Arabidopsis thaliana: one gene and its partner. The protein of the gene in region 2 interacts with the protein of the main gene of each other region in a pairwise test. Each region holds a gene or a part of one and is shown on either strand. Other genes may lie near its edges.

Region 1 (5,716 bases), 630 kb from region 2:
GATCCTCTTAATCTTGGGGCTCAACAATCCCCTATGGCTAAAACCATACAGCTTGAGCACTTGATTGTCTGCAAAATTAAAGGCCCTCTCCATACTCTTCAAGCACCTCTCGACTGCATAATCAGCATAGCTACCACACGGTTTACACCCAACGAAATGGGTCACAAATGGCCATCTCTCATCACCCAATCCCGGGTGATACTTCTCTATCATCTCCTCATACCTATCAACCAAACCTTCCCAAAACCCGTGCAAATAGTATTGATTCTCCACAAACACTTTCTCCATCCATGTATCTTTCTGAGAAAGCAGGAGATAGATCAATGCTGACTGATCATCTGCCTCAAAAGCTGGTCTACCTTTCAGATAAGCCGTCAATACCTTCCCGGCCTCATCACGAATTGGCCCTTTAGGTCCCATAGGCGCCCAAGCATCTAACAAATCCAACGACCACTGACAATTCCTCAGCAGAAAACTACCTGTGTTCAAAGCAATCCACGACTTCTGATCGAACAACAAGTCCGGATAACCATGAATCACTAGATTATGCTTCTGATACCTAGCCAAAGGGATCTGAAACAGTATATCAGTGAACAAAGCATCACTATCCATCCACCAGATCCACTCAACTTCTGGATGAGACAACATCAACCTCCTAATCATTGGTAATTTTGCCCAATAGCCAGCGAGTTCCTTATCCAAATGAGCCATGTTATACACAATCTCAATTCCATGAAGCCTACAATAATCAATCTTGTTCTTCACAGATTTCAAAAGATAATGATCACCAATGGGGTTATCACAAGGCTTAGGAGGAGATCCTGTTAAAAGCAAGATTCGAGCTTTGCCATTGACAGTACTAGGAAACTCAGGATTCTGATTCAACCATACCTTACGTTGACTATCCCAATCCGTGATCTTAGGACCTAGAACATACGTCGCATTGGGATTCATATCACCTTCCTGAGGCTCATCCAAGTCGGTTGGATCCGAATCAGATCGGATCTCAGCTAGAATCCGGTTAGTCTCCTCAATGATGTTCTGGTTAACTGCATCGGCGCTTGAGCTTCCTAGGTTACCAACACCGATAGTGCCACGTAAGACGAGAATTGTGACGAAACCACAGAGAATTGTGATCTTGATGTTGTTAAACGTCTTCTGCATCTGTCTACCTCGAGGTAACAAACCACCACGACCACCTCTTCCTCCACCGTTGGTTAACGTCGTCGTCGGAAGTCCTCCGCCGCTTCCGGATGGTCTTTTATGCGCCGGCGAACCATCTTGACCCATTTTCTTCTTCAACGTCTCTCTCTATAGATTTCACTTACAGGTTTGCGACCATCAACTTTGTTTTCCTCAGATCAGTCTGAGTATGTTTCTGTCTCTCCGTACTTACTTATTCACGGATCTGAGAAAAAGTTCAGATCTTTAGCATGATTCCGATCGGGGAAAGAGAAAGAGAAAGATTTGTCGATCTGAAGAACCCTAATTTAAAAATGGAATTAAACCCAATAATGCGGAAACATTGTCATTACTTAAAAATATATTGTCGGAGGAAAATGCTTCGTTCGATCCAGAAAGCGCACAAGGAGAAGAAGAAACGCGTACAGCTCACTCTCACCGACAACTACTATTTTACTTTAACCGATTTCGGTAATAGAAAATTACGGAACTAAACCGGTAGTTTAATTTTGGCGGTATAGTGAAACGATGCGTTTTGGTAGTTAAACCTGAAAACAGAAACGGATAAGGTGAGGAAATCGGTGGGGGCGGCGGAAACATTGAAAGGCGTTTCAGAGTCACCATGTTTTACGACGCGTGTCTCTTTTTCAGCCGGTTTTCTTCTCGCTGGTTACATCAGAGCTTCGGAGATATTATATAACTCAACGACGTAGCTGTTGCATTTTTTGTTTTTGCAATGATCTTCATCTTCATGACCGGATAAACTCTTGTAAGTGTATTTCGTTTTCTGTAATTCTGTTAATGATTTCTTGGGTTTCATCAAGTTCGTTACTTTTTGTATGTTCTCGGTCCAATCTTTGGGGGTTGGATTGTAAATCTCATATCTGATTATGTAGTGTATGTGTGTGTGATTTTCTTGTTGCAGAGAGAAAGATTCAAAGTGATTATCTTTGTGGATCCCTCCATTGCTATGTGGAATTTAGCTTCAAAATCGATCAGAGAAGGTTTTATATCGAAGGGAGAAGAAGCTGCTACAAAACCAAGAAGAGCTACTTTAGATAGATCAGGAGATGGAAGAAAGACAACAAAGGAAGAAAAATTGGAGTGTCCCATTTGCTGGGAATCATTCAACGTTGTTGAGAATGTACCTTATGTCTTATGGTGTGGTCATACAATCTGCAAGTACTGTCTCTTAGGGCTTCAACGTGCCATTGTCATCAAATCCTCTGCTTTACCATTCCAGCTTCCCTTCTTCGTTGCTTGCCCTTGGTGCAATATTCTCTCTTTAAGGCTGGTTTGCAATGGAACCATCAGATTTCCTTCCAAGAACTTTTACCTTCTGTGGATGGTAGAAAGCATGAATGGCTCCAGATCGGAGGCACCCAGCGACAACAAAAGGGTTGCTTCAGGGCAGAGAGACTTGAGAAATAGGTGTGATGGAGTGAGTAATACCGCCTTGGGTGATGAAGGGTTGCTGGACAATCGCAGCTGGTGGAATGGTGTGACCAGAGGATTCTTCAGAACTGGGAGGCTCCATGACTCGGTACGTAAGTCAATGGCTCTTGTTGCTCATTTGTTGGCTAAGTTTCCTCTGGTAGTCATATTCCTGTTGATGGCTTTATATGCAATCCCTGTGAGTGCTGCAGTTCTCGGGGTTTATTTCTTTGTTACGTTTGCTTTGGCTGTCCCGTCGTTTCTCGTCCTTTATTTTGCCTTCCCGAGCTTAAACTGGCTGATCAGAGAGATTGCAACCTGACTCATTGTACTGTTTCTTTCTTCCTGTATGTTTCCTGACTTGTAAGAAACACGAGATAGAGCCAACGTTGTTTACACTCAATATAGACAAGAAGAAGAGAAGATCTTTATTTTCAGATTGTGTCTCTGTACATTGCGAACAAAACTACCTTTCTCTATCCCTATCTGTCTGATAACAATGAGGTTCTGTGTACAAGAAGAATCAGAAACAATGAAACGAAAAATGGTGAAGAAGAAAACTCTGTTGTTCTGTATAATAAATCTGAAAGAAGAAAAGAAAGAAAGATTTTTACATTTCTATGTAACCTTGTGAAGATAAGCCATTGAAGAGCTCTGCTTTACCGGATATCTTAACCAACATAGCTAGAACTTCTTTCATGTTTGGTCTTGCCTGAGGATGATCAGCTGTACACTTCACACCAATCTTTAGTAGCTCAGTCATTTGCTCAGCTCCGTTCCCTGGTTTGGTCCCTGACAGGGTTATTGGTGAACCTTTGGCTGTCATGTTACCTGTCATTACACGTCTTGCCCATTCGACCAAACACTCTTCTCCTCCATCAACAGCTCTTCTACCCGTCGCGAGTTCCATGGTCAATACTCCGTAGCTGTAAACATCTCCTCTTGTGGTGGCTTGCCAAGTTTGTCCATACTCGGGAGCTACATACCCGATTGTGCCTGCAATCACTGTGCTCACATGGCTATCTCCTACATTTAAGAGTCTTGCTAGTCCAAAATCCGTCACTCTCGCATTCCCGTGTTTATCCAAAAGAACGTTACTGGCTTTGACGTCTCTGTGAACGATGGAAGGGTAGCATTCGTGGTGTAAAAACACTAATCCCCTTGCTACATCTGTGGCTATATCAATACGTTTCTTCCATTGAAGTTTTGTTTTGTCTGTGATGAGCTCCTCTAAGCTCCCGCCTCCCATGTATTCGTGCACCAAGATTTTCTCTGACCCATCTAGGCACCATCCATATAGCCTCACGAGGTTCGGATGTGCCCAATCTCCAAATGCGTTGGCACTTAGAACTTCCATTTCAGCTCTGAACTCTTTCTCTGCTTCTGTGCCTTCCCTCTGAAGCTTCTTGACTGCAACTTCTCTTCCATCAGGCAATACGCCTCTGTAAACAGTTCCATAGCCTCCCCTACCTACCACTCTCTCCTCAGAGAAGTTACTGGTTGCTTTCAGAATGTCAGCGTATGTGAAAGTTGATTTGTCTAAGCGAATGACCTTGATTTTTCCTGATAGCCATGGCGATGATCCACCTGAACTGGAAGTCATGTCATGTCTGGTTTTCGACCCATCTAAGAGATCGATTTCTGCTTCCCTTGAAGCCTTAACAACCATAAGTACAATACCTGATACCACTAAACATGCAATAAACGCCAATGCAAGAGCCAAGGAAATCCAAATCAAAAGAAGAGTTCTTGGCCTGTTTCCTAGGACTTGGTTGGAAATCTTCCTCGTGTTGTTCCCTGATTGGTTGAAGAAACTAGGAAACCGCAGCAGCGGATTTCCAAGAAAGGAGTCTTTGTCAAAGGTTGCTACTTGTCCTGTTGTTGGTATCGCGCCAGAAATGAAAGGGTTATATGAGATGTTGAACTTACTCAGCTCATTCAAGTCATTCAAACTCGTTGGAAAGTTTCCAGAGAAATTGTTGAAAGACAGATCAAGATTCTGCAGGCACTTCAGATTTCCGATTTCTTGAGGAATCTCGCCCGAGAAATTGTTTCGAGTAAGGTTGAGGAATGCAAGAGGCAATTGTCCTATCTCTGGAGGCAGTTTCCCCTCAAACTCATTGAAACCCAAATGTAGTGTGCTCAGCCTGTCCATCTGAGAGATGCTTGCAGGAATCTCACCTGAAAACTTATTTCCACTGAGCTGAAGATAGGCTGAAATTTTAAGCGTGCGTACCGTGGAACCAGCAGAACAGACAGGAAAGAGACCGTACCCTTTGAGAACATGGTCCCATAGGCTTCTGCAACTCTTTTTGGTTAGAATTGCGTATACAAAGTTGAACGGAGGGAACTCCGCTGGAATCCATCTCTTCATCGCCAAGCATTCACCAGAACCAGCAATTATCTTGTCTTTGTTTTGCCTATTCACTTCAAATGTTGGAGAAGGATTACTCCCCATTCTAGTCAATTCAGGATGGAATCTACCAGAGAGCTGGTTGTTTGCCACGTTAAACCACAAAAGGCTTGTGCAGTTGCCAATCTCTCGAGGGATTTCTCCTGATAGAGAGTTGTTTGCAAGCATTAGCCACAAAAGAGAGGTCAATTTCCCAAATGAAGCTGGTATCGAACCGGTCAGCTTGTTAAAGGAGAGATCAAGTGCTTGAAGCCCCGGCATGTTCCCATACTCCTGTGGTATATCGCCACTGAAGTTATTATAAGCAAGAATCAAGAACTTCAAACTCTGTATCTGAGAAATTTCAGTAGGTAACTGTCCCGAGAAATTGTTGTAGCCCAAATCTAGCCTTGAAAGATTGGGTAACTTGAGGATGTTGGAAGAATTGATGCCTCCTACGTATGAGTTTGCATGCAAGACTAGATACTTTACTTGCGTGAATCTCCCAAAGATTTCTTGAATGTCTCCTCCAAATTTGTTTCTGCTCAAATCCAGAAACACCAAGTTGGTCAAGTTCAGGAGAGTTTCCGGTATGTCTCGAGAAAATGTATTATTCCCCAAGTACAAACCTTTGAGAGAGGATATGGAACCAATCTCAGCTGGAATGTTCCCTGTGAACTTGTTTCCCCAAAGATTCAGTACATTTAG
Region 2 (8,019 bases):
GATCTTATCATAACTAGCATATTAGGGAAACGTTACGTCAACTGGTCTACAAAAATATCTAAGTTGGTCCATTTTCTTACACGTTTTGAGTAGTTGTGTCGACCGCAATGCCAAATCAATCACTAAAAAGAAGAGTATACACGATCATGTTTCTTCTATACCAACGCATTTAATTTCCTACATACGAACTTGAATGCTAATCAAACTGGGGTCATGTTTACGGCTTTGAGCAATAGTTGAAGATTATCAATACATAAAATTATATCATCCATATCACTTAATCAAATGAAAATATTCATACCATTAAAATACCTTGAGATCTTTTGTTTTTAAAAACCATATACAAGAGAAAATAAGAAATTGTAATCAACAAAAAAGCCAACAAACTTACACATCACAAAAGCAAAAGATGATCAATCATCACAATAAAAAAAAAAAAAAACAAAGCAAATCAACCATCATTATTCTTAATATCTTTAATGATAATCTTCTTATTCTTTATCTTTCTTCTCCTCCTCTACGGTGGTCTTAGGGTGGTATCCTGGAAGCTTCTCCTTAATCTTCTCAAGAATCCCTTTCTTCTCCACTGGATGCGCTTCTTCCACAGGAGGAGGAACAACCACCGGTGCCGCAGCGACGGCTGAACCGTCTTCAGGTTTCTTGTGTCCAGGAAGCTTCTCTTTCAACTTCTCCATAAACCCTTTCTTCTCTTCCTCCTTTACCTCAACTTCAGTAGTTGGCTTCTTCTTCTCCTTCTTCTTCTTCCTCTTCTCACCATCTGAACCTTCTTCCTCACTTGACTGTATAAATTCAGACCCATATAGTTAGATAAGAAAAGCATTCGATCATGTTATAGTTTATCATCAACAGATCAGATCTAAACTTACGGAGCTAGAAGAACTGTCGCTTCGGTGAAGCTTTTCAAGAAGACTTTCGTGTTTAACCTCTGGCTCCGGCTCTGAAATATGAACCTTCTGCTCAAACTCTGAAGCGATCGGAGTCTCCTCTGGTTTTGTTTCGTCTTTCTTCTTTCCCAAGAAATCGAACAATCCACGATCTGTAACCTCTGCCGATGATTCCTCTGTTGCTACCTTTGGCACCTCCTGTTCAGGAACATTCTTGATTTCCTCAGCCATAGTTATCGGAAAAAGATTCGATGAATGAAACACGGATTCAAAAGTATTTTTTTTATGTGAAGGTTTGAAATTCAAAAGCAGATGAAAATAAGAGGTGATGGAGATTAGAGAAGAAAGTGTGTTATATAGTGTTGAGGACTCGGGAGGGGTCCAAGCCACCGCGGATTTCACGCTCTTTGTACACTTTTTTTTTGCAATTTAAAAACATATATCTAATTATATGAAATTACAAAATGACCCGCTTTTTATGGCATCTTCTCCTTCGTCCCCACGTTAATTATCATTTTTCTGTTAATTAGATAAAGTTATATTGGATTAAGAAGAATTCATTAATTAATTGTTAATAGTTTGCTTACGTGATCTGATATCAATTTAGTGGAATAAAAAATAATGGATAAGAATGGCAACTAGATAGTTTTTTTTCAAAAGTAGTGAAAACAAACTAAATGGTTTGTTCAAGGCGTGTACTGTTTTTAATTTAAATATTAGACTTTCATAAGTTTTTTTGTTTGTTTTAATACTTGTTATGTGGACTTTGTAGTTCAATGATCGGTTTATCAAGTTAAAGAAAACTGATTCAAACTTTAAATAGAGTAAGAATAATATGGAATAAGCAAAAATGTTTTTTCATTTCCTCTGAAAGCAAAAATAATTTATTTTTGACAACGCAAAAGAGATTTTAAAGAATGGGATGTCCCTATAAATTATTGTTCTTAAAGTTTCGGGCTTTCTTATATATATATATATATTCACAAATATAGGAACCATCTTGCAAATTCCAAAAATGGATTACAGATTTTGAAAGGATTAACAATTTAATGCACCATAGATTGGAAGACACGTGTCAAGCATTAGCGCAAATCGGACGACGGAGCTCATAGTCAGAAATGGAACGTCGGATGTAGACAAAGAAAAGAGTCAGAGAGAAATTTAGATTAATCAATTACATCTTAAAACGTGTCAATATAACATGGGAAGTTGTCCTTTTGTAGGACCCAATAGTATGTACTGATTGGCGTAAAAGACGTGATGTCGGTTACGTGGGTCCACTTGACTTATTGACTAGTGCCACGCTGGAACAAGCTTGTTCGAGAAGAAATGATGATTTTTTAGAAATTTATAACGTTCCTTATTTTTTCTTTCTTCTATTCTATGCGTTACAAAATACAAACAAACCAATAAGAACTTGGTTATTTAATTCTTATCACGCTATGAATCCTCAACGATTAGGTGTTATTTTAACTTATTATTCACTAAACATGTTGAAGAGGCCAATCTAGTAACGCATGATCTTTGAAATTGTAAATACATGATCTTGGATACTCTAAACAAAAAAAAAAACAAATCCAACAAGTAATATAAGTCCGATTGGCTCAATCGATTAGGAAGGTGTTGTTGCAATGCTACCGGATCTCATTTTTAGTCCTAATGCTACAATAAGACGGGTAATTTGCGCTTGTGAATCCGCCAAAAGTATTATCAAAGAAATGATCGTGGACATAAACAAACTAAAACTAAAGATTTAGATTTTAGAACGAATAGAAAGTTAGCATCATCTTTTGTTTACCATTTTTGGGGCACATAAAACAATCTTTCGTAATCTCGTTTATGGGAAAAGGGTTTGTGTATGTATTTTTTCAACGTAAATGGTTATGTTTTCATGCAGTTTTTAAAGATAAACTTAGATGTAGATAATGAAATCATGAGTAGACAAATGAGCATAAGATGACTTGGATTTCTTATGAATTAATATGTTAATGTGTGGGATGTCATTTTCGACCTATTGAAAAAGATATACTAAAAATATTAATGAAGGACAGATGGTAATCGGTAAATGCATCATCTCTTAAAATTCGCCTAAAATAAAAAAAATGAACCGACGTGCCACATCAGTAATCTCTGGTCTCTAAATTTAACAAAGACGTAGCACGAACCGTGACGTATCAACACACATATCAAACAAACCTATCTTTTTCAATACTAACTTATTCGTCTTTTTGGTTCTTGTTGTCATATACACCGAAGCTCAGCTCTTAACTTATTCTTTGGATAATGTTTTCGGTGATAGCGAACCGACAAATTGTAGCCGACACTTAGAATTCACAACTAAACTATAGATTTTAAAATAATATTAATTAATTCGAAAGTTTGAGATATCTGAACAAAGTTTTCTGAAAAACGTAGAATACATATGGATCAAATACTATAATTCGAAAGTTTCAGATTAGTGCTAAGTAATGAACGTCATGCGTTTGTTCTTCTGTCGATTTCTTCTTTTTCACCGCCCGTCTGAGTTTTATGGGCGTGATATTTTCCTTATTGTGGTCAAATCAGGAATATTCAACAATATTTAGCACTCGCTTTACTTGGTGGGACATGAGAATCAATCGATGCATCGCTGTTTTATTTCTTTTTCTTTGATGTTTCTATTTCTGTTAGAACAAAGTTTTCATGATTCTTAAAAGCCCAAATTTCATGGCATCGGAACAAAGTTTTCATATATGATGACAACTCAAAACAAAAGAGTAACGGTAAAAGCCCAATACCCATAAAATGGGCTTAAGAATCCAGATCGGATCTATAACCCGACCCGGTTGTTGACACCGAGAGAGTCCACGCAACGTTCGCCGAATTCCTAACGAATCGGACACCGTTTCGTCGCTGTAAAATTTTGATGCGAAATTTTCCAATTCACAGATTTTGTTTTTCCATTGTTTTGGATTTCTAGATTCTAGTTATATGTTGGTGATAGATTTTTCCTACATCTCGTGATTCTCAAACGCTTCTTGAGCTCTTCGTCGAATCGGGACTGTGATCGGGACTTGGTGGAGAAGAAGCGATGATAACAAGATCGAATCTAGCAGAACAGCTCAGGGAATATCAGATTAGATCAAAGCATGATTGGGCCTCCGTTTCTTTCTTCTCTTCCACCTCCAATTTCTCTTCCTCCAGGTTAGAGATCTCCGGCTTATCCTTTCCTTTTTAATCTGCTGTGATTTGGAGCTGCGTGCTTAGAGTTGTATTTGAAAAATTGTACTTTGTGATATTTAATTCAATTGGAACCGTAAATTTCTCATCTTTTAAGGGATTGTCGTTGAACATTGGATATCTATGTGAATCCTACACAAGGAACTATAATTTTGACTTGTCCACGTTGAACCATCTTTGACAATTTGACATACACTTTTCATTCTTATCGACTCTGTTGCAATCTGGATTCTATTGTTAAATTTTGACAATGAACATTCTATAGTGGTACTTATGCTATTCGTTTCGTTTGCTTTTGATTCAGGGTTGATGTTGTAGTCTTTGTCATATGGGAACTAGTGATGTTAGCACTCGTGGTGTTTTCAGCTGTATCCTTGTACTTCAGGCGGTTGCAACTTGCTTTTATCCTGCTTTGTGTCACCTTACTATTACTCCTCTGTATGAAAATCACAAAGCAAGTGAGACATGCTAGGAAGAAGAAGCGAAGGATGCTTCTTCCTCTCTCTATGTAAAGACCGAAACCATTGAGCTGTTGCGAACCGTTTATCTTCTCACACAACCAAACCACAACTCTTCTCTGGCATGAGTTTTGTGCCCATATGCATTGATGAAGATGACAGCTAAGCTCAGACTGACTCTGGGACGCATCGCTTTTGTCCTTTGAAGAATCGACCTGAACTTGAGATATGAAACCAGGGACTGCAATTTCAAGGCTTAGCTTAGACAAATCAGAACAAAAGTGCTGTAAAGGTTGTTTTCCTGTATAAAGTAGTATGGGAGGTTGCTTTATTTTTCCTAGGCACGATCACGGATTGTTAACTTGAGCGTTTTGTGATTAAAGATAGTTTTTCCATCTATCTATGTTACACTTAATATCATGATGAAGTGATTTAGATTTGTTGGCTGTAAAAAGTTTTTAAAAAATGATTTGCAGGATTTTCATGTGACGAGAAAAAGAAAAACAACGAACACTCATGAAAGTAGAAGAGAGAACTATAAAATGAAAAGTAGCAAGCAACTTGCTCGAAACGCTCACATGTTTCTATCATTACCTTTGCGCTCTGCAACTACTTTAGTATCTTGTTAAAGAAAAAGTGGTAATAGTTAGTATTATTTGTAATGTTATGGTCTGTCAATACACTAGCTTAGCTTGATTTGATTAACTTAATTTCCAAATAATGAGATACTGTCTACATGGTGATATAGCTTTGTCAAAGTTCATTAATGACAATGACAAAAACAAGTGTGTTAGTAACCAAGATAATTGCATTTAGTCGTAATTCATGTTTTGAAACGGAAATAATTAGAAAGATCGAAAATCTCTAGATATTTGTAGAAGGTCAGTACATAACTCCACGAGTGGTCGTGATCCAATTTGTGGACAAATTTGAAAAGCAACTAAAAACAATCAAATAAGCACGAACATCCTTTTCCCTCCACACACATCAAAATCCACAGTTTGGTCCATATATTGCTATATATATAGAGAAGCAGTTAGGCATTTAATTAAGGTTGCATACAGACAGATACATACGCAACGAAACTATCAAAGCCGAAGTAACACACACACAAAAATCATATGAAGAAACTAAATTCTAAAGGGATTAGACTCTCCGAATTGATGGAGAAATGGAGAAGAAGGAAGAAAGGGCACTTCGCTGTGTACACGAACGAAGGGAAGAGATTCGTTTTACCATTGGATTATCTGAATCATCCGATGTTACAGGTGCTATTGCAAATGGCTGAGGATGAGTTTGGGACTACCATTGATGGTCCTTTAAAAGTTCCTTGCGATGGAAGTTTAATGGATCACATCATCATGCTTGTGAGAAGGAGCATGTCCCATGATTATGATGATGTGGAGAAGTCTTCCACGAGCAGCACCTGCAAGGGAGCTTCAATCTCTTCTCTCTTTCGTGGACAGAGCCAGCTTCAGTCATTAGTTTCCTAACCATTTGGAGTAATTGTTAACTTTTTTTGGAGAAGGGTTGTTCTATTTTGTGTATACCAACATGATCTTGTAATAAATTAATTATTGTAATGTATCAATGATACAGTATCATCATTTGATTTTGAGTCTTTTTTTGACGGTTAAAACAACGATTTGGGACGAAGTTATAGGCCCTGAATGGATGCTGATTTTGGATTCAGTTTTTGAATTTAGATTTTAGTTTATAGATTTTAGATTTTAGTTTCAGATTTTTATTATTATATTTTTGTTTCAAAAACCCCAAAAAATTGGTTTTTGGTTTTTGAGAAAAATAACGTTGATTGAGTAAAAACTAGATTTCCTAAATTTTAGGAGAACTAAAAAACTAAAATCATGAATGGAAAACTACAAGAAAATAATTTTTCTAAATTGTAGGGAAACCAAAATTTTAAAATCTTGATTGGTATGAAAATAAGTTTTTGGAAAACAAAAACCAAAAACTCTTACAAAATCTACAAAACATTCAATTCATGTATCCAAACTTCTTAAAGGGCCCAAAAAGGAAGAAAACATTGTGAAAGAAACAGATATAGAAATGGGCCTTTGGTCTTTAAATTGGGCCTAAGCCTTTTAATTGAGGCCTTACTAAAAGTGACGACTCACATGGTTGAATCAAATCTCAGGTAGTAAATTGTCAAAGCTGAGGAGAAAGAAAGCTTTTTCGGTCTGAAATTGAAGTGCGAATCGGGGAATCTAGGGTTTCGAGAGAGAGATAATGGGTGGAGGAGGACATGGCGGAGGTATAACTTACAAGGGAGTCACTGTCCACACTCCCAAGACTTGGCACACCGTCACCGGAAAAGGCTTGTGCGCCGTTATGTGGTACATTTCTGATTTCTCTCTTTCACCTAATTCGCTTTTGATTTTGGGACCTAGCTAATCTCGATCGTAGCTAGATCTCGCCATGGGGATTTTGGGCTAATTGATCATCTGAGGAATTTTGTATATAGAATCCATTTGAATCAAAAAATTGGATTTGTCAAATTAGTATCGGAGCTAATCAGGTAGATGTTAATTTGAATCAGATATTGCTTATGTCAATTTCAGTTCGATGAGAATGGTTGAAGAAGTAATCGCACATAGGTTTTAACTTTCCCTAGCATTCACATCTTAAAAACTCAATTTTTGGTATTTTCAGGTTCTGGATTCTGTACAGGGCAAAGCAAGATGGTCCTGTAGTTATGGTAAAACTCTTTCATTTTTTATCTTTGTCTCGCTTTTGTAAATTTTATTGGTCCTAATATCTTTCGTGGTGGCTGAATCTGATCTTGCTATTGGCAATGGATAGGGATGGAGGCACCCTTGGGATGGTCATGGTGATCACGGTCACGGAGATCATCACTAGGTAATGTCTTTACTAGTAGTATTGTCGATGGAATCATTAAGAAAGATGATTAAAAAATCTCCTTTTTCGTAGTAAACACGCATTATTGTTTATACCGTATAGCAATTCCTCAATGAAGCTAATGTCTATGCATAATGTAGAGTAGCATTTCTAAGTTGTCACTTACTAACAAGATCTCTTGTTAACTGCTATCTAGTTGGTTTTGAAGAAAGATGATAGCTTTGATCTGGTTTTGGTTCATACAAGTGGTGAAAGTTTAGAGGATCTTTAACTTCTCTATAGGATGTTCTTGATTTATATCTACTAGAATGAATCATTGAAACTCTCGGGAGTGAATGAAAATTGAGTGCCTTTATTGTGAATGTTTGTTATTAGTTTAGTGGTACATGTTTTGAGTTTTCTCTTTGTTTAGACATTGATGATTTGTAGTTATCCTCGAGTTCACCTTTCATGTAACCATATAAGCATTGCTCAAACTACTTGACACTAATCTGGTTTTGGGTTTTGCTGCTAGGTCTCACTGAACCTTTGAAGATCATGACGAAAAAAGGATCGTCTCT

Evidence for each region. Proteins that work in one complex are often made in the same cells at the same time.
Region 1: the proteins of AT1G76185 (region 2) and AT1G74370 interact in a protein complementation assay, tested with the Arabidopsis thaliana proteins (one large-scale study listed by BioGRID).

Annotation. Positions count from the first base shown.
Region 1 is NC_003070.9:27,955,422-27,961,137, reverse strand, and holds AT1G74370 (RING/U-box superfamily protein), read left to right. Parts: upstream 1-1,737; 5' UTR 1,738-1,951; intron 1,952-2,107; 5' UTR 2,108-2,152; coding exon 2,153-2,938; 3' UTR 2,939-3,052; downstream 3,053-5,716. Other genes in the region: AT1G74385 (uncharacterized protein), read left to right, coding at 168-413; XXT5 (xyloglucan xylosyltransferase 5), read right to left, coding at 1-1,290; AT1G74360 (Leucine-rich repeat protein kinase family protein), read right to left, coding at 3,227-5,716.
Region 2 is NC_003070.9:28,586,522-28,594,540, forward strand, and holds AT1G76185 (NADH-ubiquinone oxidoreductase chain), read left to right. Parts: upstream 1-3,803; 5' UTR 3,804-3,975; coding exon 3,976-4,088; intron 4,089-4,428; coding exon 4,429-4,636; 3' UTR 4,637-5,010; downstream 5,011-8,019. Other genes in the region: ERD14 (Dehydrin family protein), read right to left, coding at 492-800, 888-1,136; AT1G76190 (SAUR-like auxin-responsive protein family), read left to right, coding at 5,704-6,075; AT1G76200 (NADH dehydrogenase ubiquinone 1 beta subcomplex subunit), read left to right, coding at 6,830-6,936, 7,253-7,298, 7,403-7,459.